Macaca fascicularis: one gene and its partner. The protein of the gene in region 1 purifies or fractionates together with the protein of each later gene. This does not show direct contact. Links are inferred from orthologs where the notes say so. Each region holds a gene or a part of one and is shown on either strand. Other genes may lie near its edges.

What was found.
Region 2: the proteins of PTPRR (region 1) and MAPK14 purify together in Homo sapiens (affinity purification with mass spectrometry; 4 studies listed by BioGRID and IntAct, counting the BioPlex papers as one, with this or other methods). This does not show direct contact. The link is inferred for Macaca fascicularis from reciprocal best matches to the Homo sapiens genes PTPRR and MAPK14.

The regions. Positions count from the first base shown.
Region 1 is NC_088385.1:77,647,359-77,664,502, reverse strand, and holds the start of PTPRR (receptor-type tyrosine-protein phosphatase R), read left to right. Parts: upstream 1-7,755; 5' UTR 7,756-8,103; coding exon 8,104-8,161; intron 8,162-17,144. UniProt on the Homo sapiens protein: Sequesters mitogen-activated protein kinases (MAPKs) such as MAPK1, MAPK3 and MAPK14 in the cytoplasm in an inactive form.
Region 2 is NC_088378.1:135,561,583-135,578,110, reverse strand, and holds the end of MAPK14 (mitogen-activated protein kinase 14), read left to right. Parts: intron 1-593; coding exon of another isoform or gene 594-673; intron 674-4,811; coding exon 4,812-4,891; intron 4,892-7,195; coding exon 7,196-7,274; intron 7,275-12,078; coding exon 12,079-12,252; intron 12,253-13,017; coding exon 13,018-13,085; 3' UTR 13,086-15,398; downstream 15,399-16,528. UniProt on the Homo sapiens protein: Serine/threonine kinase which acts as an essential component of the MAP kinase signal transduction pathway.

The DNA of each region.
Region 1 (17,144 bases):
AAATTTCATTTTATTTCCAGTTTTGGAGCTGAATTTGGTTTTGAAGGGAGTTCATTTTCTAATCTCTATGATATAAACCTAATATATGATTTTAGTTTAAGTTTGGAAGTCAAATTTGAGGGTAGATATCTTTCCTAAAGTAAAGTACTTCCAAGATTAGAGGTTCCAAATGACACCTTTGTAAGAGAAATGGTTTATATTTTCTATTTATATTAACAGTAAAGTAGTATTTTGATGGGCACCTATCACATTAAATTGAATAAAAAAGGAATTTTATTTAAAAATAAAATGAAGCTACCTTCTATTTCATCCAAAAATAATAAAGTATCAAAATGATTTGCTTAAGCCATCCTAAAAAACAAGGAATTTGTCAAACCATTTTCCTCCAGAATTTGGACAATAACTAACCAAATATTCTGAAGTCATTTGCCACACAGGAGGCCGAGAAAACAAAAATGCTTGCTAGGGCATTTTTCTCATTCTTTTCCTGCTTATATTTCTTTCTTTCTTTTCTTTTCTTTCTTTTTTTTTTTTAAAGACAGAGTCTCACTCTGTCACCAAGGCTGGAGTGCAGTGGTATGATCTCAGCTCACTGCAACCTCTGCCTCCCAGATTCAAGCGATTCTCCTGCCTCAGTCTCCTAGGTAGCTGGGATTATAGGCACATGCCACCACACCTGGCTAATTTTTGTATTTTTAGTAGAGACAGTTTCACCCTGTTGGCTAGCCTGGTCTCAAACTCCGGACCTCAGGTGATCCATCCGCCTCGACCTCCCAAAGTGCTGGGATTACAGGTGTGAGCCACCGCACCCAGTCTCATTTCCTACTTATGTTTCTCATTCATATTATGTTTGCTTGACTTTTTGCTAGTGGTTTTAGTATAAGGGCAGCTCACAAAGTTTTCCTTTGTTTCTCAAAGTGAATAAAATATCAAAAAATGCACCCACATTTCAAAATCAATAAGGTGTTTATTTTACACCAAAAAACATGGAATAAAGAGCAGATTTCTTAGTTGGTACATTAGTTGGCTTTGGATAGTCCCAATTTCTGAATCTTGTTAACAGTTTTGCTATCTCACAGTTGTATTTGAAATCAGTGAAACATGAATCAATGAAAACCTCTGGTGTAAAAATATTCATTTAAACTAATTTGGCAATTTGCCAACTGGATTTCTCTTTATATATTTTATATATTTAGAGACATGCTGAAAATTATTTCTGATACTGTGGGGGTTTTTTTTTCCAGATTGGTTAAAATATCTATGGAATCTTGAGAGTCTTTGCTGTAGCTATTCCCTCTGTCTGGGAAGTTCTTTAACCAGGTATCTGCTCAGCTAATTTCAACTTCCAAGTCCTTGCTCAATGCTCACTTTCTCTACTTAAAGACCCTACTTAATTCTGCAAACTCCTTGCACTCATATTCTTCCCACTACCCCACCCCCAACTGCCTAATCTCCCTTACTTTGATCTACTTTTTGTGTTTCTCATCGCAGTCAACAATTTCCATGATACTATATAATTTACTTATTTCTTATATTTACTATTAAAGGTACATTTATTTCACTTACAATTTAAGCTAAAGCAAAAATGTTTGTCTATTTTGTTCAACAATATATCCCAAGTACTTAATACACTTCCTGGTGCATCGTAGGTACTCAATATATAGTTTAATTATTTGAAATCAAACAACATATCAATGAAATGTCAGCAGATAATTCCACTGTTTTTGGAATATATGTGATATAGTACATCCTACCATAACGTGACTTCAAATGACTTGACTTCACTGAACATAGGCACCAGTGTTTCCCTATCACATATGGTTTCTGATGAATGAGTTGAATTTAAGACCATAAACAACTGCTTCATTGTCTGGGTGTATTAGGGGTTGTGTTATAGTCAATGGACATTTTTAGTAAGATTTTCTCTAACTCTTCATGTTATAGAGGTGCAGGTGTCTAACAAGAAAAAAAAATTCCTTCTGAAATGCTTTGCAACCCCAAACTATATACTAATAAACAACCCCATTCTCGATTATAGACATCCAGGAGCAAGAATGAGGGAAAGAAATAAGTATTTTTAAAACGTTTAAACTTTTATTTATTTATTTATTTGTTTGTTTATTTATTATTTTGAGATGGAGTCTTGCTCTGTTGCCCAGGCTGGAATGTAATGGTGCTATCTCGGCTCACTGCAACCTCCGCCTCCTGGGTTCAACGGATTCTCCCACCTCAGCCTCCCAAGTAGCTGGGATTACAGGCATCCACCATCATGCCCGGCTAATTTTTGAATTTTCATAGAGACAGGATTTCACCATGTTGGCCAGGTCAGGCCAAGTTTTGGACTCATAACCTCAGGTAATCCACCCACCTCAGACTCCCAACATGCTGGGATTACAGGTGTGAGCTACTGCGCTCAGCCTTAAAACTTTTAGTTTTAAAGAATGAAGAGTCAGTGAGGGAGGCATTAAGGCCTATATTTGGGTGATGTTCTTTTAAATCATCTTGTAGTTATGTGAGAAAATAAGGTACAGAAATGAGAGCAAGATTAAATGATCTAATCAACCCATAGTTAAAAATCCCAGGATATTCTTAGTGTCCCAGGCTATTGTGTGAATAAGTTGTTCCCAAGTGGCCTCATTCAAGGAAATCTAAAAGAATGGCCAAGGATTGCAGAAAATGTATTTGAATGCTCAAAGTACATAGTCTAAGCCATAACAGAGGGCTGTGACATCTGGGTACTGCTCAGGATGATGGATGGTATAAGTGTAGCCTGATTAGTGTCTTGGGATAAACAGAGAGCTAATGCAGGACAGTCAGAGGTTTGTAAATAAATCTATTACTGACATCTTAGATGAATCTGACCTTTGCAGTGCCAGAATAGATGACAATATAATACATTGGTGCCAAGGACTAGCTCCAAGGAAACTTTGTTCTCCATTTTGAATAAAATTTTAATGATGAACCAATAGCAGAATCTATAGGTATCTATAGCCTTTCTGCTTTTGGTATTTTGTGTTTTACTACAACAGCATAATTCACATATGCACAGAAAAGTTTATCTGCCTTGTTTTAGGTACCTAATTTTTTCCCTTAGGATACATATTGCTGCCTTTGTGTGTGTGTATCAAATGCTTTAAGTGGAAAAATGTAACAAAAGTGCAACTGTGTTAAGTTATAAAATGTAATATTGTTATCCATCTTGAAGTCTGTGTCTTGGGATAAGAACACTGTTTTCAATTTAAGTATTAAAATAAGTTCTGTCATTAAGCAGAGATGTTGTACAATACAGCCGGTAACAGCATAGTGCTGGGGTCACCCTACTGAGTTCTAATCCCAACTTCACCACTTACCAACTGGATGACTATAGGCAAATTACTAGCTTCATTGAGCTTCAGTTTTCTCCTCTATTACAAAAAAAAAAAAAAAATACTTCACAGAACTCTTGTGAGAGTTCAATGTGATAATATGTATTTTTGGAATTATAGTGCTTTTCTTCCCCTATTCTTATTGCCCCCTTGCTACTTCATTGTTTTCTTCACTGTATGCTTATGCAAAAGGGTAGATCGTTCTTCTTGTTACGGTTGGAAAAATACTAAAAAAAGAATGGTAAATTTATATACCTGAACATGATATTTTCATCTGTGAATTTCCAATTCATTCCTTTTCAACCTGAGCCATTCCACTATGACCATAGCTTAATTCAAATCAATTATTTACTTTGTAAAAAGAAATTATTTTTCTTCTTTTCTCCTCTTATAAAAGATAGCTCTCAGACAAAAGGATATAGACTTTGGGATTGATAAAGTGACGGCATAAAAGATGGGAAAGGGCAAGCACAGAACAAATCTTAATGAGGTGTTGATCACTGTTACCTATCGTTCCCTTACATGTTCAGAAGTTCCTTGAATCCATTTTGTTGCTTTATATCTCTGCCACTGGCTCACACAATTCCATGGCCTTTCTCTTTATGTAGAGCAGTCAGAACCTACTTATCCAGCCAGACTCAGTTGATTTCCTGTTGCCCACCAGTTTCTTGCCTGCTGCCCATCCCCTCCTCTGCTCCCACCCTCCAAAGAAGAAATCATTTCCTTCATTATTCTCCATTCCCTCTGAAGCATCTTTCTAACACAGTTCCTCTAAGCATGATTTTAATTGCTGTCTTTGTTCACTAGATGGTAGGGCCCAGAGTCGACTACCACAAGCGTGTCTCTCATTCTCCTGGCGATAATCTCCTATGAGTGTTCCTCACCACAGAGCTTTACTGTGGGGTCAGGTATCTCCTGCCCAGCCCTGATCTAATCATCTAGTTCTAGTGAGCCACCTACAACTGAGTGTGTGTGTGCATGTGTGTGCATGTGTGTGTGTTATTAGAGGTAGTGTAATATAGTAGTTTGGTATCAAATTATCAGAGGTACATCTTAATTCTATCAATTTACTTTTTAACTGATTACTTACTACTTGATTTTGGGCAAGTTACTTCTCCATGCCTCAACTGTCTTATCTCTAAAATGAGATCATTATAGTACCCTCTTGTAGAAATATGATAATGTTTAAATAGGACATCTAAATGCTTAGAATAGAGCCTGGCACACAGGAAGCACAATGTTAGCCATAATTATACTTAAATAATAGTAACCTAAATAAGTTAAGTAGGAGATCCTTGCAATCAATGGATCTGATTTCTCAATTTAAAGTGTCTTAAGGAAAGATGGCTGACATGAATAATTTTCACCCACTTATAGAGAAGTAAATATGGATGCTCATAATGGTCAAATCTATTTTGAGGGCAGGCTCTGAAAGGCTTCTTTCTTGTGTAAATTTTCTCCAAGACTCACCTCATAAGGAAAAGAAATGATGCATCTTATGTGGAGGAAAAGTCCATATGATATTTTTAATTTATCTTGTCAAATGTAAACGATTCTTTTCTGACATAGCTCTGTAGGCCACTACTAATTTTTATGGTTCTCTCATAGTAATTTCCATGCTTCTTTGAATTACAACTAACTTTTAAAAACCCTGATGCAGTATTTTAATGAAGCTTTTATTCCAAAACACCAAGTCACCTTTACTCTAGTATTAGATCACAGTTAAGGAAAAACAGCACCTGTTGACTCAGAATATTTCTGAATGAGTTAAGTGGTTGACTTTTTCATTAATTGGCTAATTCACTCATTGCTGTTTGGCTTCATGAACAGCAATGAGTGAATTAGCCAATTAGTGAAAAAGTGAATTGAAGCCATTACAAGTATGATATTAGATTGACTCACACAGGCATATGACATTTTTTGTTACTTTATCATTTTTAAGTAAATTAATAATGAATGTCTAGTCACCAAAATTACAGTCCACTCAGGGTTATTTTTACCATGCTGAACTATTCTAATGATATATCTGGCCAAATTGGAAATTGGAAAATTTTGCTGCTAAAGGAATTTTCATGCATAGTTTAATAATTCAGCTACCTGTAGCCCTGGGCAAAATACATTGCCAGCAGGATGCTTTTTGGCAAAGTCATAGTCAATTATAATAATGGAAATTGTAAATGCCCCACCAATAAATGTTGGAATTATCTGTGGAAAAGGAAGGGGTTCAGAACATTACTGCAGCATTGTTTCATTACCATAAGTAAGTACATTTTATTCTTGGAGACCTATGTAAGTTTGATAGTTAGTTATTTTAGGAAACAAGAAAATAAGAATAATAGACCTATTGTAAGTGGAATACAATTATTTTTCCCTAACCTCCAGCCCTGCAGCAGTTCTAGTACCAGATGTTAGACGAGAAGAGTTACTCTTCTAAGCTTTACAGACTGCTAAATAAATTATCTCAAAGTTTGATTCAGTAAGAATTTCAGAGTTAATTGTCAGTATTGAACTTTATCAACTATTATTTTCATTCATTTCTGAGTATCTATTTTGCATGAAGCATTGTTCTAGGGAGTTGGGAATGTTCAGTGAATAAAATCATCAAAGTTCTTCACCATTGGAGTTCAAATTCCATTTTTGGGGGAGTAAGGAAATAGATACTAAACAATGGATTTTATAAGTAATTATTTTGGTTTGTTAGAAAGTGATATGTAAGTAGAAAAGTAAAATGGAGGACAGTGAATCAGGAATAGGAGAAGAGGTTGCAGCTTAGAGTGGTTTGGGGTGAAATGATAGTGCCACAGAAATGGAGTGTGCCACACGCATGGGGGAGTAGGGGGTACAGCACTTGCTAGAGAGGGACTGCATATGTCTCTATTTTCAGCAGAGAAGGCCTGTCAAGTTATTAAAAATACATCTCATTGTCTCCCTCTTCCACTTGTTGGAGTGCTTCCTGGCCTTGCTCTCAGAGCTGAAGCTGACATAAATCATAAAAGATATAAATGGTACCGTCTGGGCTTTCTGATCTTGCAAGGTCCCACCTAATTTAAGCTCTGGTGGATAGCCTATTTCCCATTAGTTGTCTCAATTCACAGAGGATGGAGAAAGAAAGCACTGAATGAGATGTGCAGCTCAACTCGATGAGCACTCGTTAGCCCCAATTATTTGGCTAGGACAACTTTATTCAATTTAATGGAATCCAAAATTCAGCAGTTCTTATGGAGCCTTCAATGTACTGTAAAGCAAACCACAGATAAATGAACTGTCTGAAAGAATAACATGAGGCACTGCTAAACAAGTGTTATGGAAGAGAAAGATCACTGTAATCTAGAGTTAGTTAGAGTTAGGGCTTTCTGGAAAAGTGAGACCAACATTACACCTTCGAAAACTCTAGTGTGGTAGTGGTGCAAGTGGAGGAAAATAGGAAAGACGCAACAACATCCATGAAGACACAGAGGCAAAAAGGGCAGTGGCCCTGGGATAGTTAAAAGAGAGAAGTCTAGCTGAGGGCCTTCTTGACTTGACTAGCGGCAATTAGCCATGACTAATAACGCTTTCCACACTCCAAAGACTTAGATGGGGGGATAAAAAACCATCTACATTAGGCAGACTGTGGTAGCCTCCCTAGACCCACAGAGCTGGGCCGGATGAGCCCCGGCACTGAAGTGATCTATTATCTTTCACCATAAAGAGTAAAAGGGAAACTAAAGATAATTACCTCCATGAAACAAAAAGGTGCCTTCTTTTGCTTCAATCACATGGATATATTCTACTAGTCTAAAAGTATCGTCTCACTTCTTTCTGTCACACTGTGAGGACTTGAGTCAGAAGAAAGTTTAAATACAGGGATTGAGCTGGAAAGAGTGGAAAGAGAAGCAAAGAGGGGGAAGCTGTAGGAAGGACGAAGGCGCTCGCGAGATATATGGTTACGCTTACACCAAGCAAGCTGCCTTGGGAACGCTTTCCCCAAGCAGCCAGAATGCTCAGTAGTGGAAGACACCTCTATTCCTGTAGGCGAGTCCTGGGAAGCTGGTCAATCTGCAAACGCCAATTCTAGGCAGTGAGCTCGGTCCACTTGTAAATCAAGATTTGGGGAAAGAGTAGGGTAGGTGGCATGGTTGACGCTGTCATCAGCTCCCCCCTCTGGCTTCTCTGGTCATACCCCCATCTACTCTCACCCAGCTACACCCCACCCTCGGATTTTTGATGGACGCTGGGTCCCTAGTAACCACAGCAAGCGCCTCCCCCGCACTTCCCCCTTCCCCCACCCCTCACCACCACCACCCCAGCGATGGAGCCTACTCTGCTCCAAGCCGCCGCTAAGACCCGGAGAAGCGGAATTTCACTTTGAAACTCCCGTGCCTCGTGAGGGCCGGCGCTGGGCATGCTCAGTAGCCGCGGCGCTGCTGCTGGGCTGCTGGGCTGGCGCGGAGTCCACCCTGCCGTCTCCGCCTTGGCTTCTGGGCGTCCAGAAGGCCAGGCATTTGCCGCCTCTGAGCGCTTCTGTTCCCCTTGCCCGCAACCTCCTACTCTTCTTCCTCTCTCCCTCTCTTAGGGAGGTTGAAGCCGGTGCTGGTTTGTGTCGGCGCCACAGACTGACTGCTCTGCAAACCCCAGCCGAGGACCTGCGAACGAATCCCGGAGACTAGAAGACCCTTGGCGGTGGCTCTTTCTAATAGTACTTTACCTGAAGAGGGGTCGTGGTGGAGTTTCTCGTCCACCTCTCAATGCAAACACTATGTGGAGAGCAGTCGGCTTCCCTGCGCTGTGCCTGCTCCTTAATCTTCACACTGCAGGTAAGGGGTTGCCAGGCGTAGAGCCGGAGCTGTGCATGAGATGGGCAACTGCACATGCTTAAGGACTCTAGGAAAAGCTTGTCTTGCGAAGAAAGCCTTTCTAAAAAGGTAAAGCAGGACAGTACCTGACAGGAAAGGGGTGAGGGAGTCGTGCACCTGTTGGAAAACTGAGGCCGAAAACTTAAGCTAAAATTAGATTTTGATTTTTCTTTCCCTTACACGAAACTAGTGAACATTTTCAATATGAATGCAGGTTTGCTCCCCCCTTCGCCTCCCCTCCGTCTAGATTCCCTGCTCTTGTTTCTAGGCTATGCACTTAACTGTCAGTTTTTCAGGAGAGGGACAAGACATTCTGCTGGATGTAAGCTTTTCTACTGCAGCGGCTACATTCTTAAGGTCTCTTGGTCTAGCGAGCGCCCATAGGAAGGCATTGGCTGTAACCTGATGGACCACATCTCCGCCCCAAAGATCGAAATACATGGTTCACATTAGTGATGCTGCTCCAGGCTCCTTTGGCCCCTGCTCTTGTCACTCGAATTTTCTAAACCAATAAGAGGAAGGAAAGGTTTCAAATAGAATCCTCTTGTCTCTTTCAGCACCATGGCTAGCGTCCGCTGGCACTAAAAAATAAATAAAAATAAAAATTACAGTTCAAACCCTGGGATAGGCACTGTCCCTAGGACAGATTTGATAAGGTGTAACCAAGAGTAACAGTGAGACTGCTCCCAAATATAAATAGATTTGAGGCACCAGAATCAATATCAAGTATCGTGTGGAAGCAAACCTGAGAGATATTATATGTGGTGTCCCTGCTTTTTGGATACATAGCACCTCTATTTTATGCAGAGGACTTGCTGGGCTGAATTCCTTATCGTTGTCACATACACATGAACCGAAATAAAATGTGGCAGAGATATTTTAGAAACCCTACTGTGACAGCAGTTGTCCATGCAGCAGTCCTGTAACAACCAGAGACTAGGCATTTTCCCTGAGTGTGCGTCTCATCCAATCACACATATCCATTCATTCCTTCAACCAACATTTGCTGAGCGTATACTATGTTCTAGGGGTAATGAGTAAAAATAATTGTTTGAAATTACAATCCTTGCGGTATCTTTTTTAAAAGAGTGGGTGAATTTTATTCTCTGTGTACAATAGTGGGAGTGAAATATGGTTCTTTCTTATTCCAGCTAATGCTATTATTTAAATGTATCATGAATCTTTTGAGCATATAATGCATAGGGTTATTAAAGCTATTATTAAATACACATGTTAATTGTTATAATTATGATGTTATATTGTGGGGTTTTCAATAGTTCTTTGGTACATTTTGAAAACCAGAAAATAGCTATGACTTGATTATTAAATTATTTGCAAACAGCTGTAGTGAGTTCTTTCATTACCACATACAATTCTTCAATGCTGAAATATGGGACAAAAACATACACATTGGGTTGAGTTTTATTTATAGTATTGCTTAATAATAGACTGATACAAACATTCATTACAGAAAAATCTCAATTCTTACTAAGTTAGCAATGATTTAGTTGGTCTGCCAACAATAGCAGCGTAGTCATTTTTTTCAAAACTAACATATAAAAGAGTTTAAAGATAACATTTAATACACCTTGAGTAATTATATCTTAAAAGTTATAAATAAACTTTTAAGCATGTGAAAAACATGTCTTAATTTACTGTAGATGAATATTGGGGATGAGAAAAATAGAGGACTTTTGCTCATCAAATGAGAAACCTAAAAGCTTGTAGCCCTAGATTATACCTGGAGCTCTGCCAAAGGGTGTATTACCAAAGCCAATCCAATCCATCTCTACTTCAACTTTTTAACTGCAAAACAAAGATAAAAAGTAAGATTAATCAACCAATTTTAATTTAATAAGACAATGCATTTAAGGACATTTTTATATTTCAATTGCAAGATGCTGAATATTCATTGTATTCATATTTAATATGGTGAAATATATTGGTGTTTTATCACAACAGATTGCAAGTTTAATATTATAGTTCTCTTGCCAGTTGTATTTTAAATGCATTTTAATTTTAAACAGCAATTTGTGGGTCACAAGCTGTTATCAGATTAAAATTTATCACAGTTATCTAATGACATTGTTAGGGCTTTTCATCAGAACTGAAACAAACATAGCTCCTTGGTCTAAGCTTCTATACATTTGGAGATTAACAAAATAAGTGGACAGGATGACAAAGATCAAGAAATCACTAGTATCTCTACTTGTTGAAGGTGTGAGTTTGTTACTTTTGTGGAAGACTTTTCTCTCAGGACAGAGGCCGACTTCATAAAGAAGGGAAATGAATTCTATACATTTACGTCTCTTTAATTGTAAAGCTAATTGATCCATTTTGGTTATGCCCAAGGTATCAGCAACTGCTTTATGCTGGTGGAACTGATGACATCTTACAATGCTTTAGAGATGGGAGGAAAGGGTTGATGGGATGTAAGTGTTCTTTTTAGCTATACTAGGAACTGTTGCCTTCAATATAACCATGCCCCTAATGATAAGTAGCAAATTGCTTGCAACTTGAGTGCCATCTCCCATTATTTTGGTTATGGTTGCCTAAGACACTGTCAGGGGAAAAAAGAAGATTTTGACGCTGAATTCTGGCTAGGGAGAAGTATGTGGTCTATAATAGCTGTGGGAGAAAAATGAGGAGTGGGTACAGTGCTGTGTAAGTGGCATCTCTGGGTAAATTAACACTAAAGGATTACTAAGCTTGGTTCTTGTTAGAGAAGCTGGACACAACTCTACCCATGGCAGCCGATTTTTATAGATCACCTAACAAGGAAGCTGTGGTTATTGTCCATTCAACTGCTTATTTTACAGGTGAGAAAATGAAGATCTAGAGTATTAAAATGTTAGTTAATAGCATAGTCAGGATAAAAGCCCAGGTTTCCAGACCCGTGGCTGCATACTGTATAAAATTATACACTGGTTCTACAATAGGTGAAGCCACCATTGATTAAGTTAGTGGTACAAAATACTTTTTACCTAACTGTCCTTATTCTTTACTCTTTCTGTGAACCAGTTTAATATATAAACTCCAGTTGAAAATACCACTTCAGGAATATTCAAGAAGGCAATTAAAAGCCATCACAATAATACGAATGGTAAAAGAATATTATGTGGAAGATCCACAGAGCTTATTTTCTTCAGCATTTCTCCTCTTTCTTTGTCCAAAGAAGCATATTCCGTTTGAGGAGATATTATTTATAGGGTTGTATTTTAGTTGCAAAAGAGTACATTTTTGAGATATATCAAAAATTCTCATGTGAAAGCTTTCTTTTTCCTAGGGAATGTTTTGCTAACAAAATACAGAAACTGATTTCAATCCATAGATTTCTCTTTGAGTTCTGGAAAAGGTTCTTTCAAATTTCCGTGTTGCTCTCACTATCAGCCTTTTTGAATGGCACAAAGACTGCCTTCAGTGTATCTCCTGAAACTATCTCTTCACTCTCAGAGAAGTGCATAGTCAATTTCTCTAGTCTCTGAGAAGAAAGGTATTCTATGATGGTGCCAAGAAGATCTGGGAGGTGATTTGCAGAAGTACCACCCTCAAAAGAAAGGATAGACTAACAGGTAAATGATATATTTTAAGATTTTAAGATGTTCCTTAGAACTCTAGAATTTGTTTTTCCTATTGAAAATCACTCAATATAGACCTTACAATGGTCTAGAGTCTCTCTTCACATTATTTCTATGATATTATCTCTTTTTTAAATCTCTCTCCAGCCGTATTTATCCTTCTGTTTCTAGAAGATGGCAGGCACTCACCCTTTCATACTCTTTTGCTTTTTTCTTTCTCCAGGTATCTCCATAACTTAATCCCACAATAATTTTAGGTCTTTAATTAAATATTACCTTCTTAGTGAGGTTATCCTATTTCATATTTCATCTTCCCTTCCCCCCATCGCCCAGATAAAAATTCTAGCACCCTTTCCCTGCTTATTAACTATTTTTTCCCCAGAGGTCTTCACCACCTAACATACAATTATTTTACTTTTGTTTATTGTAGTTTCCCCTCTCTGTATTAAAATGTAAGCCCATTTAGGGCCCATATTTTTGCCTGTTTTGTTTATTGTTACATGTATTGGAGATCCTGGGCTACTTAGTACCTGGGGGCAGTTCCTGACATAAAATCTTTCTAAAGATTAAATAAATATGTTAAATAAATAATGATAAGTGATATTTCTGGTCTCTTCTTTTTGCATTTAATATATTCTTAACACCCAGAAAAAACACACATAGTCAACTTAGCCACTTCCAGAATGGACTTAAATGGAGCTCATTTGTCCAAAACTCATGTTGCCTCACATGCCCCCAAAACATACTATCTCTAACAGATTTTGCTGTCATTGTGAACTGAAGGGCAATAAAGGATGGGTTTGTGTTAGACCAGAGCTACTAATCAACTGAGTGAAAAAAGTCTTTCAAACTGATTGCCAGATGTTGTGCAGCCTAAATGCTTTGCTGTTGGCTACATTTTCACTTCTCAGTGAAATGCCTTGTACATGTAGGAATGGCTACAGGGATCAGCAAATTTACAAACAGAGAGTCTAATGCACTGGAAAAAACCGATTTGCTTCTTAGGTACTTAAGAGACATAGGAACATGTATATTTGAAATGACGTATTTCTAGCACCTCCAATAGAATAGCACCTCGCATATTCCATTGAAAATCACATCCTGCCTAACACCTTGTAAAAATTCTGGGATGCATTATGCACATTCAGCCTTTTCTTCTTTATTTCTCACCTACTTCTCTATCAACTTCAGTCCTCATCCTATCATCCTATGGTTGAACATAATTAAATAGGTCATTATAATGTACATTCTCGTTATCAATGCATTTCCATAGTACTCATCTATTTTGACCCCTTTCCAAATTTTAAAATTTTTCCTCACTTGACTTCCACAGACAGTCATTACTCCCTAGCTTCCCTCTTATCTCTCCAGCCATTTCTCAGTTTGTACTTCTAGGTCTTCTGCTGTGTATTATTTAATGGTCAGTGCTCTCTACATCTTCTCATTGATTTTTTGTTATTTTTCTCTGTATACAATCTCCCTGGATAATTATACTCAGATATGCATGTCAAAGATTCCAAAATCCACATTTCCATCTCAGTTATCTCTCCCGAACTCTGGTTCTATATTTAAAATTACCTAGAAGTCATTGTATATTCCATAGTAATCTTTTTGTTGTTATTGTTGTTGTTATTGTTGTTAGAGACAGGGCCTCACTCTGTCGCCCAAGCTTGAGTGCAGCGTTGCAATCATGGTTCCCTGCAGCCTCGACCTCCTGGGCTCAAGCAATCCTCCTGCCTCAACCTCAGAGAGCGCTGGGATTACAGGTGTGAGCCACAGTGCCTGACCCCACAATAGTCTTATATTCAACTGTTTTTACTCAACACTTCTCATCACAATTACTCTTAGAAACATTCCCTAATATTGTGAGTAACACCAGGATTCCTTACAATGACCCAGGTCTGAAACGAATAATTCAACCTAGATCCTCCCTTTGCTACTTTCATCTTAAAGGTTACCAACTCTTCTCATAAGGTCTTCTCTACTCTCCATGTTCAGGTCACTGCCTTGGGACAGATCCTTATTTCTCACATAATATCTTGTGTTGACCTCCTATCAAATTCTTTCATCTTAAAGGTTACCAACTCTTCTCATAAGGTCTTCTCTACTCTCCATGTTCAGGTCACTGCCTTGGGACAGATCCTTATTTCTCACATAATATCTTGTGTTGACCTCCTATCAAATTCTTCATAATAATGTAAGAGGTGAAACTCTTAAAAGCATACCTGATCATATTCTTTCTCCATAAAATTCTTCAATACAGCTATCTCCTTTTCTTTTAGAATAAACTCCAAACTCAAGGCAAAGTCTTTTGTGATGAGGTCTTTTCATCATGCCCTCCTTTGCACACTAATGTCAAACCAAGACAAAATTTCCTTTAGTTTGCCATGTCTTGAATCATTTCACGTACTGTTCTACTTCTCTGAAATACCAATACTCTGCTTCCTTTTTTAGATGACTCTTTCTCCAACTTCAAATATTGATCAGGCATAGCCCACTTCGAGAATCTTCTTTTCTTGAATGCCTCACCTCATTCAAGTAGCTCTCCTACATTTCCCTTTTCAAACCTGTATATTCCTCTGTCAATGTACTTAACCTGTATACTGAAGTTTTTTGAGAACAATAACACAATTGCAGCTTTATTTCTATATACTTATTCCCTAGAACTATGCTGGTTACCTAGTATGGCATCAGTAAGTATTCAATTAATGAATACGTATATTAAATATATTTGGTAAAATGAATTATGATAAATTAATTTACATTGACCAAGAGATTATATGTCATCTTCATGACCATAAAGAAGATAATTGACTTTACTACTCTTCTCTTAATGCAATTTACACTTATTGACAACAAGGAAATGGAGATGGGACAGAAAAATTTCTATTTAAATATAGTCCATAGGATAAGTTTGTGTCCCATGGGCATGATGTTATTTGTAGTGTACTTGTGTGCTGAACTCTTTCTAGATGTGTAGACATTCTTGCATGATTTTCCAGTACTACTTAAGAATAGAATGAGATTAATTTTTTTTTTAATTTAAAGAGCTCAGAGAGTTAGATAAGCAACATAGCATGATAGTTGTCCACTAAAGAATGGACCCGGAACTCCTAACCCTGATTACTGATTGGTTATTATCTACCTAGAGCAAATATAAGACATTTACACATCCAAAACCAGGTGGGAGTGTGAGACAGTGGCTTCAACAAATCAAGACCAAAAATAATTCAACCCTCCTTTTCTCTCTGAAATAAAAACCAAATCATCATACAACATGTCTGAATATTTGAGTGGTTGTATACATTTTTCTCTCTCATTTTATGTGTATATGGTCTTTATGGAATCATAAAGTTTTTGGATCCCACACATTTTTTCTTGTAGAAGACATTCTTACACCTGAGGAATGGAGACTATTTTGTGAATTATTTAAAAATCACTTTATGTGAGATGATCAGATCAAAAATCAAAAGCCCATTCATTGCCATTAGTATTAGAGATAACATGGATGTTATATTTTATGGTAAGTTTATTGTTAAATCTTACAAGTTGTTCTGTGAGTCAAATTCAAAAGCTAGTGAAAGCCATTTTTCCTTTAAAAGGGGATTTGAAAGATTCTACTTGGCCCATGAGTGCATTTTTCATCTTCAAGGCATTTACAAATGCTGACACATTTAGAGTAGCATTGATGTTTCCCAACATGAAGGATGTTAGTAGTTTTGAAAAAGAAAGATGTAATGCTAAAATATTATTTTAAGATCAAATTTTCTAATGTTTCTGTACCATATAATGTAACTATAAGTACCTATTATAGTAATGATATCTGCCACAGAAAGACAATTAGCAAATTTATATTGTGAACATTAGCGCTTTCCATTTAAATCATTTTTATTCATAATGACTGCATAAACTTTCCTCATAATCAAATCTCATTTGACTTTAATATATTAAGATGTTAATGTCCATTAAAATTGCAGCCACATGGACCAATGGCAAAGCAAAACTGTTTATATTATGCAGCAGTCTAGATCTATGTCTAGTTGCACTGAAGCAAATACCAAGTTCACTGGGGACATGAATTATTTTTTCCTATTTCTATTTTATTTTTTATTTCCTTTTTTTTCAGATCTAAAGCAATGTCCATTTTCTGACTTAAATGAGAAGACTGACCTCAGGCAGTTCTAAACTACTATTCTTTGGAAAGGAGCACTAAATGAGCACAGAGTAAAAGCATCTCACAGTGATTCACTGGCCTGTACAACACTATGTACAGAGCAAGACTACAGCTATTTTACTGTACTAATGATCCAATTCCTGAGGCATACTGGAGAGAAAAGGAAGCAATAAGTGCACAGAATCAGTTCATCACTGGGTGACTTTCACTTACCTGGGAAAAATGATCAAACATAATATCATAGTGAGTTAGGTTGAAAGACCATCAATCCGTGAATGTAAAGGTATGGCTTTCAAATCATAAGCAATTTACTTTCTTTGTCTTCTTGACTCAAGGTAGTATTTTTAAAATTCTCCCTGAAGAAAATAAAGTAGCTTAAACAGAAGAAAAGAGAAAATTTAAACAAGTGGAAATGTCATGTTTCTAGATAACTTTTTAGCAGAATTCCATAGTAGTTGAAAGTTAAGTGGGATAATATATCCAAACCTGCAGTCTTAGTGAGTGTCATAGAGGTGTTAGGCATTATGTGATTAGACTAAGGAGATAATAAATGGTTAACTTGTACCTTGGAGGAATTTCTTGTTCTTCTTATGTTTATGCCAATACTGAATAAGCATACACACCTAGATAGGCTCTGGGTTCTGAGTGTTTTTATTTTCAGTTGAGCCTTTTCTTGATAGTTTTCATCTGTATGCTATAGGCAGGAGCCTGACCATATGTGCAGGTTTATAGTGAACTATGAGGCTCTGAAACATCTACCTCCCTGCAGATATCTCTCCCAATGCCTTTCCTAAAAGTTTTATCTAAACATGAATTCTAGCATCATGTCTTCAGCAAGTTCTACTTAAATTAATGTGAAATACAAATTTCTCTTGGATATGCCTGATTGTGACTGAAAATGTGTAACATTTACATAAACATCATAAATCTGAAATGTCTAGTTCCTACTGCACTGCCTTGCTTAGCAGGTGGTCTAGACTTGTCCTAGGATACATCTTCCTAATTAGTCCCTCTAGGGACCCACAGGGGGTGGAAAGTTCAAGCATGGACCAGGGATGTTGCTCATAGGTCTCTAGGCTTCCCATCTGTTGTCTACTCGTCTGGCCATCCTTCTGCTCTACTGACCAACTGATACTCTCCTACTTACCGTTTGTAGCCCATGGAACTTCTAGGCTATTGGGCTGCAGGTGCA
Region 2 (16,528 bases), on another chromosome or scaffold:
TAGCCAGTGGGAGAGGCGAGGCTTCCCAGAGGGTGTGCTCCAGTGGTCAGGTTTTGGGGTCTCACAGGCCTTCCACTGTCATATCATAAGCTCTTTAGGTCACGTTTAGGAGAATATTCATAAATAGACTTGTACATCCCTAGCTCCTGTGCTCTGTTGCTTTTTTCCTTATCTGTGGCCCTCTAATTACCAGTGCTCTTTCCTGGACTGATTACTGACACTGTGATGGCAGATGAAGAGGGCAATGTAAACTGAGTGAAGCTCTTGTGTTTTCACCTGCTATCTTTGGCAGCTAAGAACCACCTAACGTTGCCTCACTTTACTGATACATGCTGTTGACAGATGCACAAAATGAATATAAAGTGGATACGTGTGTGGTAGCATTTTGAATCTTTGTACAGGAGGAGCATGTCCTACGTGAAGTGATCATCCTGCGGGAACCTTGACCTAGAGGGATTCACCGTGTTGGCTAGGTTTGGGGTGTTTCATTTTTGTTCTCGGGGTGTTTTGTTTGTTTGTTTTTGTTTTGTTTGTCATTGTTTGTTTTTCATTTTTATTTCGTCCCAACATTTTCCTTTATGGTCCACCATTAGATATTGATCAGTTGAAGCTCATTTTAAGACTCGTTGGAACCCCAGGGGCTGAGCTTTTGAAGAAAATCTCCTCAGAGTCTGTGAGTTGATGCTTTGTAATTATCTGCCCTGTTGGGAGCCTCTGCCACTTGCCTTCTACCAATCTGTACTTTGACCTGGGTGTGTTTGTAAGCACACATACCCTTTGTGTGCTGACTTCCAGGATGAGTGAGGTATAAGATAGTGTGAGTGTGTGTGCGCGTGCACGCATGTGTGCCTGCTTGCATGCACAAGTGTGTTTTATTCTCTATCTGGGTACACACTAAGATCATGAGAGCCTCTATTAGGCAATAGTATCCCAGTAAAGCAATGAGATTTGAGATTCTAATTCATTAATCCAAGAGATTAATGCAAAATGTGTGTCTCTGTCCTCAAGCTCTGACTTTCATCTTTCTCAGAAGTTTCACGTATGCTCTAGAGCTCTTTTCACTGTTTCTAGTGTTTGTTCTCAGCGCATGAACTTCACCATGTATTTAGTGTAACTTAATCACTAAAAGAATAAAATGTACATTGTCTGCACACTGTTGCCCCTTCCCATAAGTTATTTTTTATTGTTTTAGAATAGATACTCACATATCCTACGTAAAATGTTCGTTCCCAACAGAGGGACCTTTCTACCCAGTCCCTAGACCCCACTCAGAAGAAACAACTCCACTCTTGATACCTCAGATCCACAGGAATGTGGTTATAAATTTTCCTCCTATTGCCTTATAATTATAAGTTAAATAACCCGAGACAGAGTTTGGAGCTAGTGCTTTCTTGCTTCTAAGCAGGGACTTAGACAGAAGCCATGGGAATGTGACTCTGGCTTACTTTTGCTTGATTTCCTGCTCTTGGTCATTTTCTTGGGCCAGAGGCATGAGAGAAGCCATGAAAGCCCAGTTTTTTTTCCTTTTTCCCTCAATCTGCTGCCAGGCAGTGGAACAAAAGAAAAAATGAGCTACGGAGCCAAGCTCCAGTTATGCCTTCCTGGATTCTCCTCCCAACATTTATGACTGAAGGGGCCCTTTGCCTAGTTGGGAAGACTGCTGGGTAGCTTGAGGCAGGCATAAGTAGGTGAGTTGGAACTGTTCATTCACCTTCCTGACAAAATAAAGAATACCGTCATCTGGTATGTATCCGGTACATTTCTTGAAAGGATGCCAAAGCCCAGTGTATTTCTGAACCTCCACTCTGAATTTTGTTTCATTTACTTATTTAAGATAAAGAAGCAAAGGCCCAGAAAGGCAGTGACTTTTCCACGTCATGCACTGAGTCACGTGGCAGAGCTGAGTATAGATCCCAGATGCTGGATAACATGATCCAAACTATAATCGCATGTGATTACATACTATTTTGGAAGTCGTTGTCAGTGTTACCACAATGTCAACCTAAAGAGGTATTTTTTCCCCCTTTATGATATATAGAAGCTGGATTAGAGTGAATCAAAGATATCAGATGATGCTTAGAAAGGGCAGTACTTTTTTTTTTTATGTTTTTTCTTAGAAACACTGTCTTACAGTAAGAGGCCCTAAGGGCAGAGGGAGGACTGGGAAGGAGCTCAATTAATAAATAGTGCTAATGAGACCAAGCAAATTCATTTCTTTCCTGAGAGTGACTCTTAGCAGCCCTTTCTTAGTCTTCTCTTCCATCCCAGCCATCTGCCCTATAGATATGTACTATTAGTCGCAAGGAATTCAAACCAAAGTCTAGGTAAAATAGTCAATAGTATTTATCTCTCATTAATCCATCACTTATTTTTAAGAAAGAAACACTAGGTGCACAGCCTAATAGTGGAGGTCCCTCTGTGAAATGAGGCACATTATATATTTCAACAGCTCTACTGAAATTGAGTACCAGAATACAGAACTTGACTCAAATAATATTATATTGAGTGTAAGAATAAGAAAGTTTTTTTTGTTTTTTCCTACATAATTGGGGCAAGTGGATAAAAGTAGTTTAAACATCCTAAGGGGTAGACAAGATTAATTTCGTGTTCACGACACGGCCCAAGTACCGTTTATCTTGTGGTAACATAATGGATAAATAAGGCCAGGTGAGTAAAATTGTTCAGAGATTTTTAAAATTTTAAAAATTAAAGAAAAAAGACATTAGTGAAGGAATGCAGAAAATAGGAAGCCAACAGCTATTTTCATTCTCCTGAAAAGTAGTGAAGTAGCGATGCCAATAATTATGAAGAAATTGAATGCTGAGTAAGAGAATGCAGTAATGGATTGAGAACCTATTAGGATGAGCCATAGGAAAAGGTATAAATGGGTTGTGATGGAGGCCAAGGAAAGAGAATTCATTTGATTAATGTCCCAGTTTTTGTAATAATCAGTGAAAGAACAAGAAAATCATGTTAAGAAAGCAAAAGCAGACTGGGCACAGTGGCTCACATTTGTCCTCACAGCACTTTGGGAGACTGAGGCAGGAGGATCACTTGAGGCCAGGAGTTTGAGGCTGCAGGAAGTGGTGATCGTGCACTGCACTCCAGCCTGGGTGACAGAGCAAGACCTTGTCTTTAAAAATAAATAAACTAATTAATTAAATTAGATAAAAAAGCAAAGACCTGACTCATTCATATTTTCCTCCAGAAATAGAATCTTTCTAACTTCTTGACAGAAAGGGGATATAAAAAATAACCTCTTTGACTAAAGGAGACAAAGACAGAAAATGCGCAGGCCAGGTATTGTTCACAGAAAGGAAGGAGAAGTGGAGGATTTTTACATTTTAAGACCCAACTGGTATATTGCTATTGCTGGTTTATTTTGTGGCCCCTTTTTGTTACTTCCCTTGGCATGAAAAGTGTCATTTGTTATGTGATTTGTTAAAGGTAACTCTAAATTCTGTTTCCTAAACTCCTAACAAAACAAAGAATTCCATCATCTGGTATGGATCTGGTACGTTTCTTAAAAGGACCACAAATCAAAGTGTAATTACTACCTCTTTTGGAATTTACTGGCCTCTGTCTTTGGGTTTAGGGAGCGTGAAAGGCAGCGTGGAGCACATGGCTCTAGCTCTCTCCCTGTGGCCAGCCTTAAACAGATTACTGCTAAGTCATCTGACCACTAGGGAGTTCAGTTCAGAGGACGAGCTAAAGTAGAAAAATTATTTGGGAAAGCCACAAAGAAGTAAAATTGCTTGGCCATGGTGCTTATTGAAGATGATGCTTCACCTGAATGAGGGAATTAGTAGTTAACAAGAAAAGGACTACAAAAGGGGTTTATTGAATTACATTGAAGATTTTTAAAATCTCCTCACTTCTGCTCTTGGTAGGAACATGATAAACAGTTCTTACATTTTAGAAGAGGGCAAGTTGTATTAACATTGATAGAACAGTTAAAAGAGAGAAGTTGTGGTACAGCTTACATATGTGCCTATACATATAGAAAATCTCATAGTTCTGCCCTTGTCAGATACTTGCAGAGTATTTTGCAGACTTCCCTCCACCTGTTTGTTAAGTGAGGTTAGTCTGTTCGCTTGTTGAAGAGACTTGTGGAGGAAATCATGTGGCATGCTTTAACACTGTCAGCAGCCTGTGACTTCTGTTTTGCCTTTGCCATTAGCCTCTAACCTTCTGCCCGTCTCCTCTTTCTTCATTTACCATTTTGTGTTTGTGGCAAGTATTTTAAATGTACCACTAAATAATATCTTTGAAATGTGGCATTGCTTATTAACCCAGATGCCTACGTGTATCTTAATTCGGAGGGATGGTGCCTTGGAGAACCCGTGCTGCAAAAGTTTAGTCTCTTTCTTGAATGGATATGTTGGATATTTTATTTTGTTCAAAGTTTGAGTCAAAAATTTTAGAATCATCTATATTTCTCCCACAAACAGGTTTTGGCCGTCAGTACTTGAAAACAGTTCTCTGGCTGGCATCCTGGATCAAGGGGCAGTCTGTTTCCAGGGAACCTAAAATATTTAACAGTAAAGATGATGCTAAAACCAAAGAAAAGTAATTTTTCTTATCTGCATGGCCAGTCACTGACTACATGCCTAGTTACTCATGTCATTCACAGAAGCGACTCATGTCATTCACAGAAGCTTTAACATGCAGCCTTGGGTCCTCGGGTAGGGTGAATGGGGGGTAGGTTTTTTTGTTTGTTTAGGGGTGGCTTTTTGACCTTTTTAAAAACTTGAGTTGAAAATTATTTTTTGCACTGTATGTTTAACAATGCCCTTGACTAGGCATCTAAGATATTAACCAGCTTCAGCAGATTATGCGTCTGACGGGAACACCCCCCGCTTATCTCATTAACAGGATGCCAAGCCATGAGGTGAGAACAAAGAGACTGTACAGGGATGTCGCACTGAGAAGCCACGTTCTCATTTTATTGCCACTGTATAACCAACAGTTTTTAACATCACTGGATGCTTGCATGTGCCTGGAGGCCTGCCTATGTGCTATTGCAGGATGTTGACTTTTGGGATAAAATGTCATCCAGTCTTGTGAGATTGGGGATGGAAAATTGTTATTTTTATATTTGGTTTTGTGAATTTAGTGCTCGTGAGGCGGTTTCTTTCTAGGTGCTATGCCTGTAGCTAGGGTGTGCTACTATCATGACCTTTATCAGAAGGGTAGTTAACTGAAGTCCATTAGCATGCTTTCTAATTCATCCACTTTTTTAATGACCAAAAGAGAATTCTTTATTTAAAAACAAAACAAAACAAAACTGAAATATCCAGTACTAATACATACTATATTTAAAAGAAAATACACAAATAATATAAAATAAATACAAACACTTTGGTACAGTTAGGTACCTTCTTTATTCTTAACTACTTAGTCTAACTCTTGTTTTATTATCAGAGGTCATTGGGGCACTTCTTTCTTTCTAAGATACCCTTAATATTTTAGGGAACCGGGTTGGCATCACAGAGAGCCCCTCCCAGCAACTTTGTTTCTACTTCGGCTATATTCAGGTCATCTGTTGATTTATCTTTATTAAAGGGATGACTGTTCTCTGAATGAGATAATTGTCTCTTACCTGTTTTCCCTTCATCTTTTTATTTACATGTTCAAGTAGAAAGGGATTACAGCCATTTATATATTCAATTCCTACAACTTTCTTTTCAAATCAGAAAGATTCTCAGTTGCTTTTCAAAGCAGACCTTTCCTCCTGACTCCACATGCAATCATTAAGAAGGTGAAGGCTGGGCGTGGTGGCGTGCATCTGCAATTCTCAGCACTTTGGAAGCTGAGATGGTAGGATCAGTTGAGCCCAGGAGTTTGAGACCATCCTGGGCAACACAGCAATACTGCAGGTCTACAAAAAAATTTAAAAATTACGGCATGATAGCACACGCCTGCAGTCTCAGCTACTTGGGAAGCTGAGGCAGGAGGGTTGCTGGAGTCAGAAGTTTGAGGCTATAGTGAGCTGTGATTGTGCCAGTGATCTCCAGCGTAGGCAACAGAACAGAGACTGTGTCTCTAAAAAAAATTTTTTAATAAATAAGGTGAACTTGCCCAAGCAACCAGATTTTGTTTTTGTTTTTGTTTTGTTTTAAGATAGGATCTCACTCTGTCACCCCAGCTGGAGTGCAGTGGCACAATCTTAGCTCACTGGAACCTCCACCTCCTGTGCTCAAGCTTCCTGGGCTCCATCTCCCTGCTCAAGTGATCCTCTTACCTCAGCCTCCCAAGTAGCTGGGACCACAGGCATGCATCACCATGCCTGGCTAATTTTTTGTGTTTTTAGAGACAAGTTTTCACCATGTTACCCAGGCTGGTCTCAAAGCCCTGGGCTCAAGTGATCTGCCCTCCTTGGCCTCCCAAAGTGCTGGGATTACAGGCGTGAGTCACCGTGTCTGGGCAACCAGAACTTTTTACAACCTTGTGTGTGTATGTGTAAACATAAATATACATACATACCTTTACTGTTGGACTGTATTAAAACAGAAATTTTAAAAAGGTGGTTAAGATAGACAGCAGACTTTGCTTTTCTCTGAAGGTGATAGTGGGATAGCAGATAATGTTTCTTGAACTCTCACTTGGAACCAAGTACTGTGTTAAGAAAGTACTAGGTTTGTTATCTCTAATCTTCACTCCAACCCTGTGAGGTAGGACTGTTATATTAAGTTTATATTAACTTTTTTGTTACCAGTGTTACTTTGTTAGCAAGGTTTAATATTGATGTCCTTTGATGTGCTAAGAGCACCTGCTGAAGTCAGCACTATCAAAAGACTGCTGGTCCAAGACTTACTTTGGGAATACCAACCCTTCTAACAATTTTAGCTTTTTGAGAAGGCTGTCTCAGAAAGGGCTACTTCTTACATATCTCGGCCTCAGTTTTTAAACTTCTCATCCTGTGATCAGAAAGCTGATGAAAGAGAATTTGATTGATGAGTATTCTCGTTCACTTGAAATGCAACTGTGAGAGATAGCAGGAATAAAGAAGGTGATGATCATAACTAGGAAGTTAGGATAGCAGTAAGGGAGAAGTTTTATCAAAGACAGTTATAAACATTGGAGTTAGTGGACTTTGTCAGTTAACACTCGTTCCTTAGCAGGACCAAGGTTCTTTCTTTGAGAGAAGTAACATTATTGAACAAAGTAATTCTGAAAACCCTTGTTTTTTCAGGCAAGAAACTATATTCAGTCTTTGACGCAGATGCCGAAGATGAACTTTGCGAATGTATTTATTGGTGCCAATCCCCTGGGTAAGTTGACAATATCCTCACCTCATGGATATTGAATTGGTTATGATATAAATTGGGGATATGAAGAAGAGTTTCTCCTTTTGACCAAATAACGTACCATTAGTTGAATCTTGGAAGGTGATAAATATGGCTTTTATTATCTATTTGTGTTGTCAGATTTTTTTTTAATTACATGAGATGCTTATATGTTTAAATGATCACAGACCTTGGGGTCGGGGGAATGGGCAGGTACAGTGGAGAAAGGAGAGAAAGTAATAGGAATGTTGAGATAAAGGATTGGAGAGGCAGGAAGAAGCAGATACAGAAGAAAGCTGTAGCTTGTTCACAACTGCTGTGGATTCATGGTGTCCCTGAGTGGAGGACAAAAACCACTGAAGTACAGGTGGGTGTTTAGAGGACCCACCCAGGAACTCCCTGCAGGGTGCTCTGCTCTGTCAGTAGCTGCCGTTGCTACAGATCCTGTCATCTTCCACACACATGAACTTTTCCCCTCCCTTATTCTTTCTCTGCCCCTTAGAGGTGTAACTATCCTCTCCTCTTTGTGGAGCTTATTTGCTACCTAAACTTAAAGAAATGGCTTCATATGCCTTCAAGATCCTTGGCAGAGGGAAGTGATGGTGGCAGTTGAAGATATGTGTTGCCTTGGCTAAAAATGCAATTGCTTTATTATTATTATTATTATTATTGTTATTATTTTTTTTGGTAGTGTCAGGGTCTCAGTCTGTTACCCAGGCTAGAGTACAGTGGCACAGTCATGGCTCACTGCAGGCTTAAACTCCTGGGCTCCAGTGATCCTCCTGCCTCAGCCTCCCACATAGCTAGGACTACAGGCATGCATCCCCATGCCTGGCTAATTTTTTAAAGAATTATTTGTAGAGACAGGGTCTCACCATCTACTAATCTTTGTCTCCTGGGCTCATGCAATCTGCCCACCTCAACTTCCAAAAGTGCTGGGATTCAGATGTGAGCCACCATGCCTGGCTGACTATATTCTTTGAAGGGGAGGACTGATGTGTGCTTCAGATGGTCCCTGAAAGCTGCTTTGCCTGAGCCTCATTCCCTGACTCTAGAAGAGGGCAGTGGACAGTGCTGTTTAATGGTAGACACAGAAAGATCAGACCAGGACCTCCCTACAATAGGGAAGGGAGCTATGCTATGATAACGAGTATAATCCACCTTCTCACTTTTCTTAAGATTGTATTGCGTGGTATGTTTTAAAATCTCACTGCATTTCTTTGCATCTGTGTGGGTCATGTGTCTTCTTAAGGGTCTTGGCAGCTATGCTTCAGGTTTAGTTTTATCTTTTTGAGGGCCGACAGCCATGCTGACTTCTTTAGAAGCTGGGGTGAAGGCTAGGTGATTTTACCTTTTTAAGTACTTCATCCATAGTGGTTATGGAGAGGAATTTTAGTGTCGCAGTGATAATTCTTACAATAGCAGAGATGCTCATGCTCTTTGAAGTATTGGGCAGTTGTGGATGAGTTCGTGTCAGCCTTGGAGACGGAGAGTATGTCATATCTCAGCTGGGTTGCTCTCCTGCCCAAGGATGAATCCACAGTCTCATCAGGGGTAGGTACGATTCTACTGAGATTGGTTTAGGTTTGCATCTGCCCTGGCATGCTCTAATTGACTTTGTATGATTTATTTGAGCTGAGAAGCTCTCTTTGAGCCTTAAGTACTACAGGATGTTGGGAAAAGATGTTGTGTTCTTTCTTTTTTTTTTTTTTTTTTTTTTTTTTTTTTTTTTTTTTTGAGACGGAGTCTCGCTCTGTCGCCCAGGCTGTAGTGCAGTGGCACGATCTTGGCTCATTACAAGCTCCGCCTCCTGGATTCAAGTGATTCTTCTGTCTCAGCCTCCCAAGTAGCTGCGACAGCAAGCGTGTGCAACCACGCCTGGCTAATTTTTTGTATCTTTAGTAGAGACTGGGTTTCACCGTGTTAGCCAGGATGGTCTCAATCTCCTGACCTCGTGATCTGCCTGCCTCGGCCTCCCAAAGTGCTGGGATTACAGGCATGAGCCACTGCACCCGGCCCGTTGTGTTCTTTCTTGTCTGTCATTCTGTTCTGAATTTGTCCAGAACAGCCCTAAGCCCTAAGTTTTAAACAGGGCAGTACTCACTGACACCCTCTTAACGGACTCAGAAAGATTTGTTAATTCATGTTTTAGTGGGAGAGGGGAGATATTTGTGTTCCAGCAGCTTATTTAGGTCACATAGCTCCTGATAGGTCTTCCCATTCTTTGAAATCATGACGTTGAAACCGCCAAAAGAACTAGATACCACTTTGCTAATGAGTTGAAAGGAGGCTTTGGTCCATCTGGTGCTCAGCACTGTACTTCTCAGCATTTAAACGTGCCTTACAGCCCATTGCCAAACAGTGATGTCATATAATGAGGTTCCCCTTGCCGGGCAGATGGAGTACAGTGTTACTCTCACAAGCTCATGCCCAGCATATTAACTGAGCAGGAACATGCCAGCAATATAAATATTAACAGCTCTGTTTCGTCAGCCACTGACTTTGTTTCACTGCTATTCCCAAAACATGAATTAAAACTTAAATTACCCCTTGATGTTAGTGTATATATTTATCTGTCAAGATTTTTTTTTTTAAGAAATAGCATCTCACTCTGTCACCCAGGTTGGAGTACAGTGGCACAGTCATGGTTCACTAAAACCTCAAGCTCTTGCATTTAAGTGATCCTTCCTCTTCCCTATCCCAAGTAGCTGAGACTACAGGCGCATAACACCATGCCCAGCTAATAATATCTTTGAGGAATCTTTTTCTTGCCCCTGACCTTATTGGTTATAAGAACATGGTAGTTTTTACCCTAGGGGTAATAGAGACTTGTCATATAATCTGTGTTCAATTAGAAAATCAACAGCTGATAAGGTTTCTTTTTCTAAGAAGAGAAGACCATCAGAAGAATATATGTATATATAATCCAGGCATTCACCTAGTACTGTACTGTAAAGTGTAAACTAATGAACTTGAATTGACACATGAATATTCACTTTGTTTCTGTATCCCCCTGAAGCCCATATTTCTCCAGTGGATTACTCTGGAATTCAAGCTGTAGGACAGGGGTGTTTTACAGCCTCCAGTATACACAGCAGTCGATCTCCATAGAAAGCTGTCTTCTTCACTATTTACCCCCACCCGCTCCACATTTAAGAAGTAATTTGCAAAGTCTCAAAAGCCTATTTCACCACAGTGATAACTGGTTATATGGCAGTATTTATCCTCCCAAGTGCTGCCATGCTGAAACACAAAAATACTCATTTGAAATACAGAGTTAGACAAATCACCATTTTGTAACCCCTTATGAAAGAAATAATTGCTTTTGGAAAGGAAACCCAGTGAATGCAAAAAGCCATAAGTGAAAGGAACGGATATTTATTTGGTACCAAAATATCCCACAGATTACTTGCTTTGGTCAAAGGGGAAACATCTTAACCCAGTGACCAATTTTAGTTCATTAGTAGTGGGACAGATGGCCTTAATGCATTATCACATGCATGGCATCACCTGTATTTTTGCTGAAAATGTTTGACCTGATTCTTACCTAACTTCTGGTTTTTGGGAAGTACAGGGGATAGTGGAAAGCAGGGTATAGACACATGACAGCAAAAGAAGCAAAATCAGACACATCCCGAGAAACAGTCATTCTCAGGACAACCAGAGGGTCTCTTCAGATCAGAATCGGGAAGGAACAGGGCTTAGAAGTAAGGAGATTATTCTAGACTATGGGAGACTAAAGAAATCCAGTTAGTTGCAGTGCATGGCCCCTAATTGAATCCTGGTTTGAACAAACTAGTTCTAAAAGACAACGTTGGAATAATTGGAGAAATTTTAACATGAACTGGATTTTAGATGATATTTAGAAATTATTTGTCAGAGATGATAACAGTATTATGATTATATAGGAAGATGTCTTTGTGTTGAAATATTTGGGGAGGGTAAAGTATCATGTCTATAATTTTATTTTAAAACAGTTCAGAAAAACATATAAATAAATACAAAAATGTTAATTGTTGAATCTGTATGCTGGGCATGTGAGTGTTCACTTTATCCTTGTTTTTACTTTTCTGTTTCTGTATATTTGAAATTTTTCATAGTGAAATTTTTTTAAATAAAATTCCCTTTGATTTTAATACCATGTCTCACCCCCATCACCATGTAAAACCCCCAGTTTATTCACTGTTTGAAGATCTGTTTGATGAATATTTATTTGTCTTATGTTAGTAAATAAACAGCGAAGGGGGACAAAAAACAACAACAACAAACACACAAAAAACAGTCCTGCCTACCTATTCTAGATTACTGTAGCTGTAGGCTTTTGTTTTTATACAGTTTGACTACACTGGTAGCAGTTTTACATTGACGTTCCACAAAAGCCTGTTCAAACACAATCCTAGTCATTTAAAAAAATTCTTCTTTAGTAACATGTTCTTTAAAAATACAAAATACAGGAGGAGGGTGAGGGTTGAGAAATAACCTGTTGGGCACAATGTTCACTATTTGGTTATTGGGCACACTGGAAGCCCAGTCCCCATCCGTGAGACCCATGTGACAAATGTGCACGCGTACCCCCGAATCAAAAATAAAATAAAACATTTTAAACATACAAAATACAGATACACACACACACGTAAAGGAGAAAAGGGCCAGTATATCCTAGAGTAGGTATTTTTGGAGGAGAATTCCTTGTTTGGATATGAAGGGTCAAAACTATGTTTGCTTAATAAGGCATACTTTTTTGTAACATATTAAAAACTATTTTCCTTCCTGTCTATGGTACTGATAGCTGTCGACTTGCTGGAGAAGATGCTTGTATTGGACTCAGATAAGAGAATTACAGCAGCCCAAGCCCTTGCACATGCCTACTTTGCTCAGTACCACGATCCTGATGATGAACCAGTGGCCGATCCTTATGATCAGTCCTTTGAAAGCAGGGACCTCCTTATAGATGAGTGGAAAAGTAAGTCCTAAGGGTAGGATTAACATCTTGTACCACTAACCGAAAGCGGTGGGAAAATAAAAACTGAATGGTCATAACCAACTTGCTAAAGCTTGTAGTTGAGGTCTGTAATGCAGAATGAATATGTTCTCTGGTGGAAAGTGTTGTAGACAGTGATACTCTCTGGACCTTTGAGATACTTAACATCTGGTCTGATTTTATGCACAGCCCCTCACATATAGGAGCTTTGCATGGAGATTTGAGGTTTTCAGAGTTATTGCATTTACAACATCTCTCTGAGCTAAGTAAAGAATAGGATATTTTTACAGTTTTACAGTTAGTAGAACTGGGGCAAAGAGAATTTATGTCTTATCAGTTAACTTAGAACTAGTTAGGGACATAGCCAGGAATGGAACCCGTGTATCCTGTGTCCAGTCCCATATTCTTTCCATAAAACACAAGTTCAGAACTCCAGTTAAATCCAAAGAGCCAAGACCATCTGTTGCCGTAGCTTGTGAGAGTGCTCTTTCATTCTTGAGCACCTCCGTAGAGAACTTAAGAGGCATTCAGCAATGAAAAACATGAGGAAAAAAAAAGGTTCTTTTCTATGTCCCTCGAACTTCTGTGTGATAACGTGCTCCATTAGAATATTACATACCAGCTGTGAGGTAGCCCATCATACCACTACCTGGACAGGGAGGAAGGATCTTGAGTGAAGTCAGAGTGCTCGCCAGCAAAGAGAACAGCCTAAACTCTCACGTCTTACTTTTCCTTCCCGATGTCTAGGCCTGACCTATGATGAAGTCGTCAGCTTTGTGCCACCGCCCCTCGACCAAGAAGAGATGGAGTCCTGAGCACCTGGTTTCTGTTCTGTCGATCCCACTTCACTGTGAGGGGAAGGCCTTTTCATGGGAACTCTCCAAATATCATTCAAGTGCCTCTTGTTGCAGAGATTTCCTCCATGGTGGAAGGGGGTGTGTGTGCGCGTGTTAGTGTGTGTGCATGTGTGTGTCTGTCTTTGTGGGAAGGTAAGACAATATGAACAAACTATGATCACAGTGACTTTACATGAGGTTGTGGTGACTTTACATGAGGTTGTGGATGCTTCAGGGCAGCCTCCACCTTGCTCTTCTTTCTGAGAGTTGGCTCAGGCAGGCAAGCTGCTGTCTTTTTAGGAATATGTTCAATGCAAAGTAAAAAAATATGAATTGTCCCCAATCCTGGTCATGCTTTTGCCACTTTGGCTTCTCCTGTGACCCCCACCTTGACGGTGGGGCATAGACTTGACAACATCCCACAGTGGCACAAGAGAAGGCCCACACCTTCTGGTTGCTTCAGACCCAACGCTGTCCCTCAGTGATGCGTACAGCCAAAAAGGACCAACCGGCTTCTGTGCACTAGCCTGTGATTAACTTGCTTCGTATGGTTCTCAGATCTTGACAGGTGTATTTGAAACTGTAAATATGTTTGTGCCTTAAAAGGAGAGAAGAAAGTGTAGATAGTTAAAAGACTGCAGCTGCTGAAGTTCTGAGCTGGGCAAGTTGAGAGGGTTGTTGGACGGCTGCTTGTGGGCCCGGAGTAACCAGGTAGCCTTCAGAGGCGGTCATGTGTGCATGTGAGTGCATGCGTATATGTGCGTCTCTCTTTCTCCCTCACCCCCAGGTGTTGCCATTTCTCTGCTTACCCTTCACCTTTGGTGCAGAGGTTTCTTGAATATCTGCCCCAGTAGTCAGAAGCAGGTTCTTGATGTCATGTACTTCCTGTGTACTCTATTTCTAGCAGAGTGAGGATGTGTTTTGCATGTCTTGCTATTTGAGCATGCACAGCTGCTTGTCCTGCTCTCTTCAGGAGGCCCTGGTGTCAGGCAGGTTTGCCAGTGAAGACTTCTTGGGTAGTTTAGATCCCATGTCACCTCAGCTGATATTATGGCAAGTGACATCATCCTCTCTTCAGCCCCTAGTGCTATTCTGTGTTGAACACAATTGATACTTCAGGTGCTTTTGATGTGAAAATCATGAAAAGAGGAACAGATGGATGTACAGCATTTTCATTCATGCCATCTGTTTTCAACCAACTATTTTTGAGGAGTTATCATGGGAAAGATCAGGGCTTTTCCCAGGAATATCCCAAACTTCAGAAACAAGTTATTCTCTTCACTCCCAATAACTAATGCTAAGAAATGCTGAAAATCAAAGTAAAAAATTAAAGCCCATAAGGCCAGAAAACTGCTATCTTCCTCTAAATATGATTACTTTAAAATAAAAAAGTAACAAGGTGTCTTTTCCACTCCTCTATGGAAAAGGGTCTTCTTGGCAGCTTATCATTGACTTCTTGGTTTGGGGAGAAATAAATTTTGTTTCAGAATTTTGTATATTGCAGGAATCCTTTGAAAATGTGATTCCTTTTGATGGGGAGAAAGGGCAAATTATTTTAATATTTTGTATTTTCAACTTTATAAAGATAAAATATCCTCAGGGGTGGAGAAGAGTTGTTTTCATAATTTGCTGAATTTCAGGCATTTTGTTCTACATGAGGACTCGTATATTTAAGCCTTTTGTGTAATAAGAAAGTATAAAGTCACTTCCAGTGTTGGCTGTGTGACAGAATCTTGTATTTGGGCCAAGGTGTTTCCATTTCTCAATCAGTGCAGTGATAAACGTACTCCAGAGGGACCGGGTGGACCCCCGAGTCAACTGGAGCAAGAAGGAAGGAGACAGACTGATGTTGATTCCCTCTCAGCCGGGACTCTCCCCCTTTCAAGGAGAGTGAACGTAAAGGCCTCATCTCCTTTATTGCAGTTCAAATCCTCACCATCCACAGCAAGATGAATTTTGTCAGCCATGTTTTGGTTGTAAATGCTAGTGTGATTTCCTACAGAAATACTGCTCTGAATATTTTGTAATAAAGGTCTTTGCACATGTGACCACATACGTGTTAGGAGGCTGCATGCTCCGGAAGCCTGGACTCTTAAGCTGGAGCTCTCGGAAGAGCTCTTCGGTTTCTGAGCATAATGCTCCCATCTCCTGATTTCTCTGAACAGAAAACAAAAGAGAGAATGAGGGAAATTGCTATTTTATTTGTATCCATGAACTTGGCTGTAATCAGTTATGCCATATAGGATGTCAGACAATACCACTGGTTAAAATAAAGCCTATTTTTCAAATTCAGTGAGTTTCTCAAGTTTATTATATTTTCCTCTTGTTTTTATTTAATGCACAATATGGCATTATATCAATATCCTTTAAACTGTGACCTGGCATACTTGTCTGACAGATCTTAATATTACTCCTAACATTTAGAAAATGTTGATAAAGCTCCTTAGTTGTACATTTTTTGGTGAAGAGTATCCAGGTCTTTGCTGTGGATGGGTAAAGCAAGGAGCAAATGACAAGGTATTAAGCACTGGGGCCTGTCTTATCTACACGCGAAGGTAAGAGTGGCCGAAACGACAGGGCTCAGCAGACTGTGGCCTGAAGGTCAAATCTGGCCCACCACTCTTTTGGTGTAGTCTGCTAAGAATGGCTTTTACATTTTTAAATGGTTGGGAAAGAAAAACAAAAAGAAGTAGTAGTTTTTGTAGCAGGTAAAAAGTAATGTAAAACTTAAATTCCAGTATCCATAAATAAAGTTTTATGAGAACAGAACCATGTTCATCTGTTTATGTATTGTCTGTGGCTGCTTTTGTGCTACAGTGACAGAGGCAAATAGTTGCAGCAGAAACTATACGACCTCCAAAATGTCAACCACTTACCATCTGGCCCTTTAGAGAAGTCTGCTGACCCTTGGCCCAGGGCTACAGTTTTCTCATCTATACAGTGAAGCTCAAGTTTTCTTCATCTTTAACATTTGAGACTATAAGCCATATATTTTTATTATAAAACTGCCAGAGAGAAGGTTGGGTTTGTGTATATATATATGTACATTGTTTGTAAGCTTTTAGGCGAATGTATTTTATGACTGTTTTTCTTAGCTGGCTACGGTCCTTGAAAATACTCTTCAGAATGACTGAATTGCATCACGGGATGAAAGAGCCACAGGGTCTCAGAGCTGATTTCTCAGGGACTTTGCTGATGTGCTTCCTTTCTTGGTGTCCTTGGAATGACAGCCAGCAGGTGTCCCAGGGTGGACCGTGGGGCTCAGCCTGTGAGGATATTGAGAGCTGGGTTTTTGTCTGGGCCCTGGCTGGCAGCGGGGAATGAAGGCAGTGATAGAAGGCAGACCAAGCATAGTCTCCTTTCCATCCCCAGTGACTTCGTAAGGAGGTGAGAGAAAAGGGCCCTGGTTATTACATGGGGTC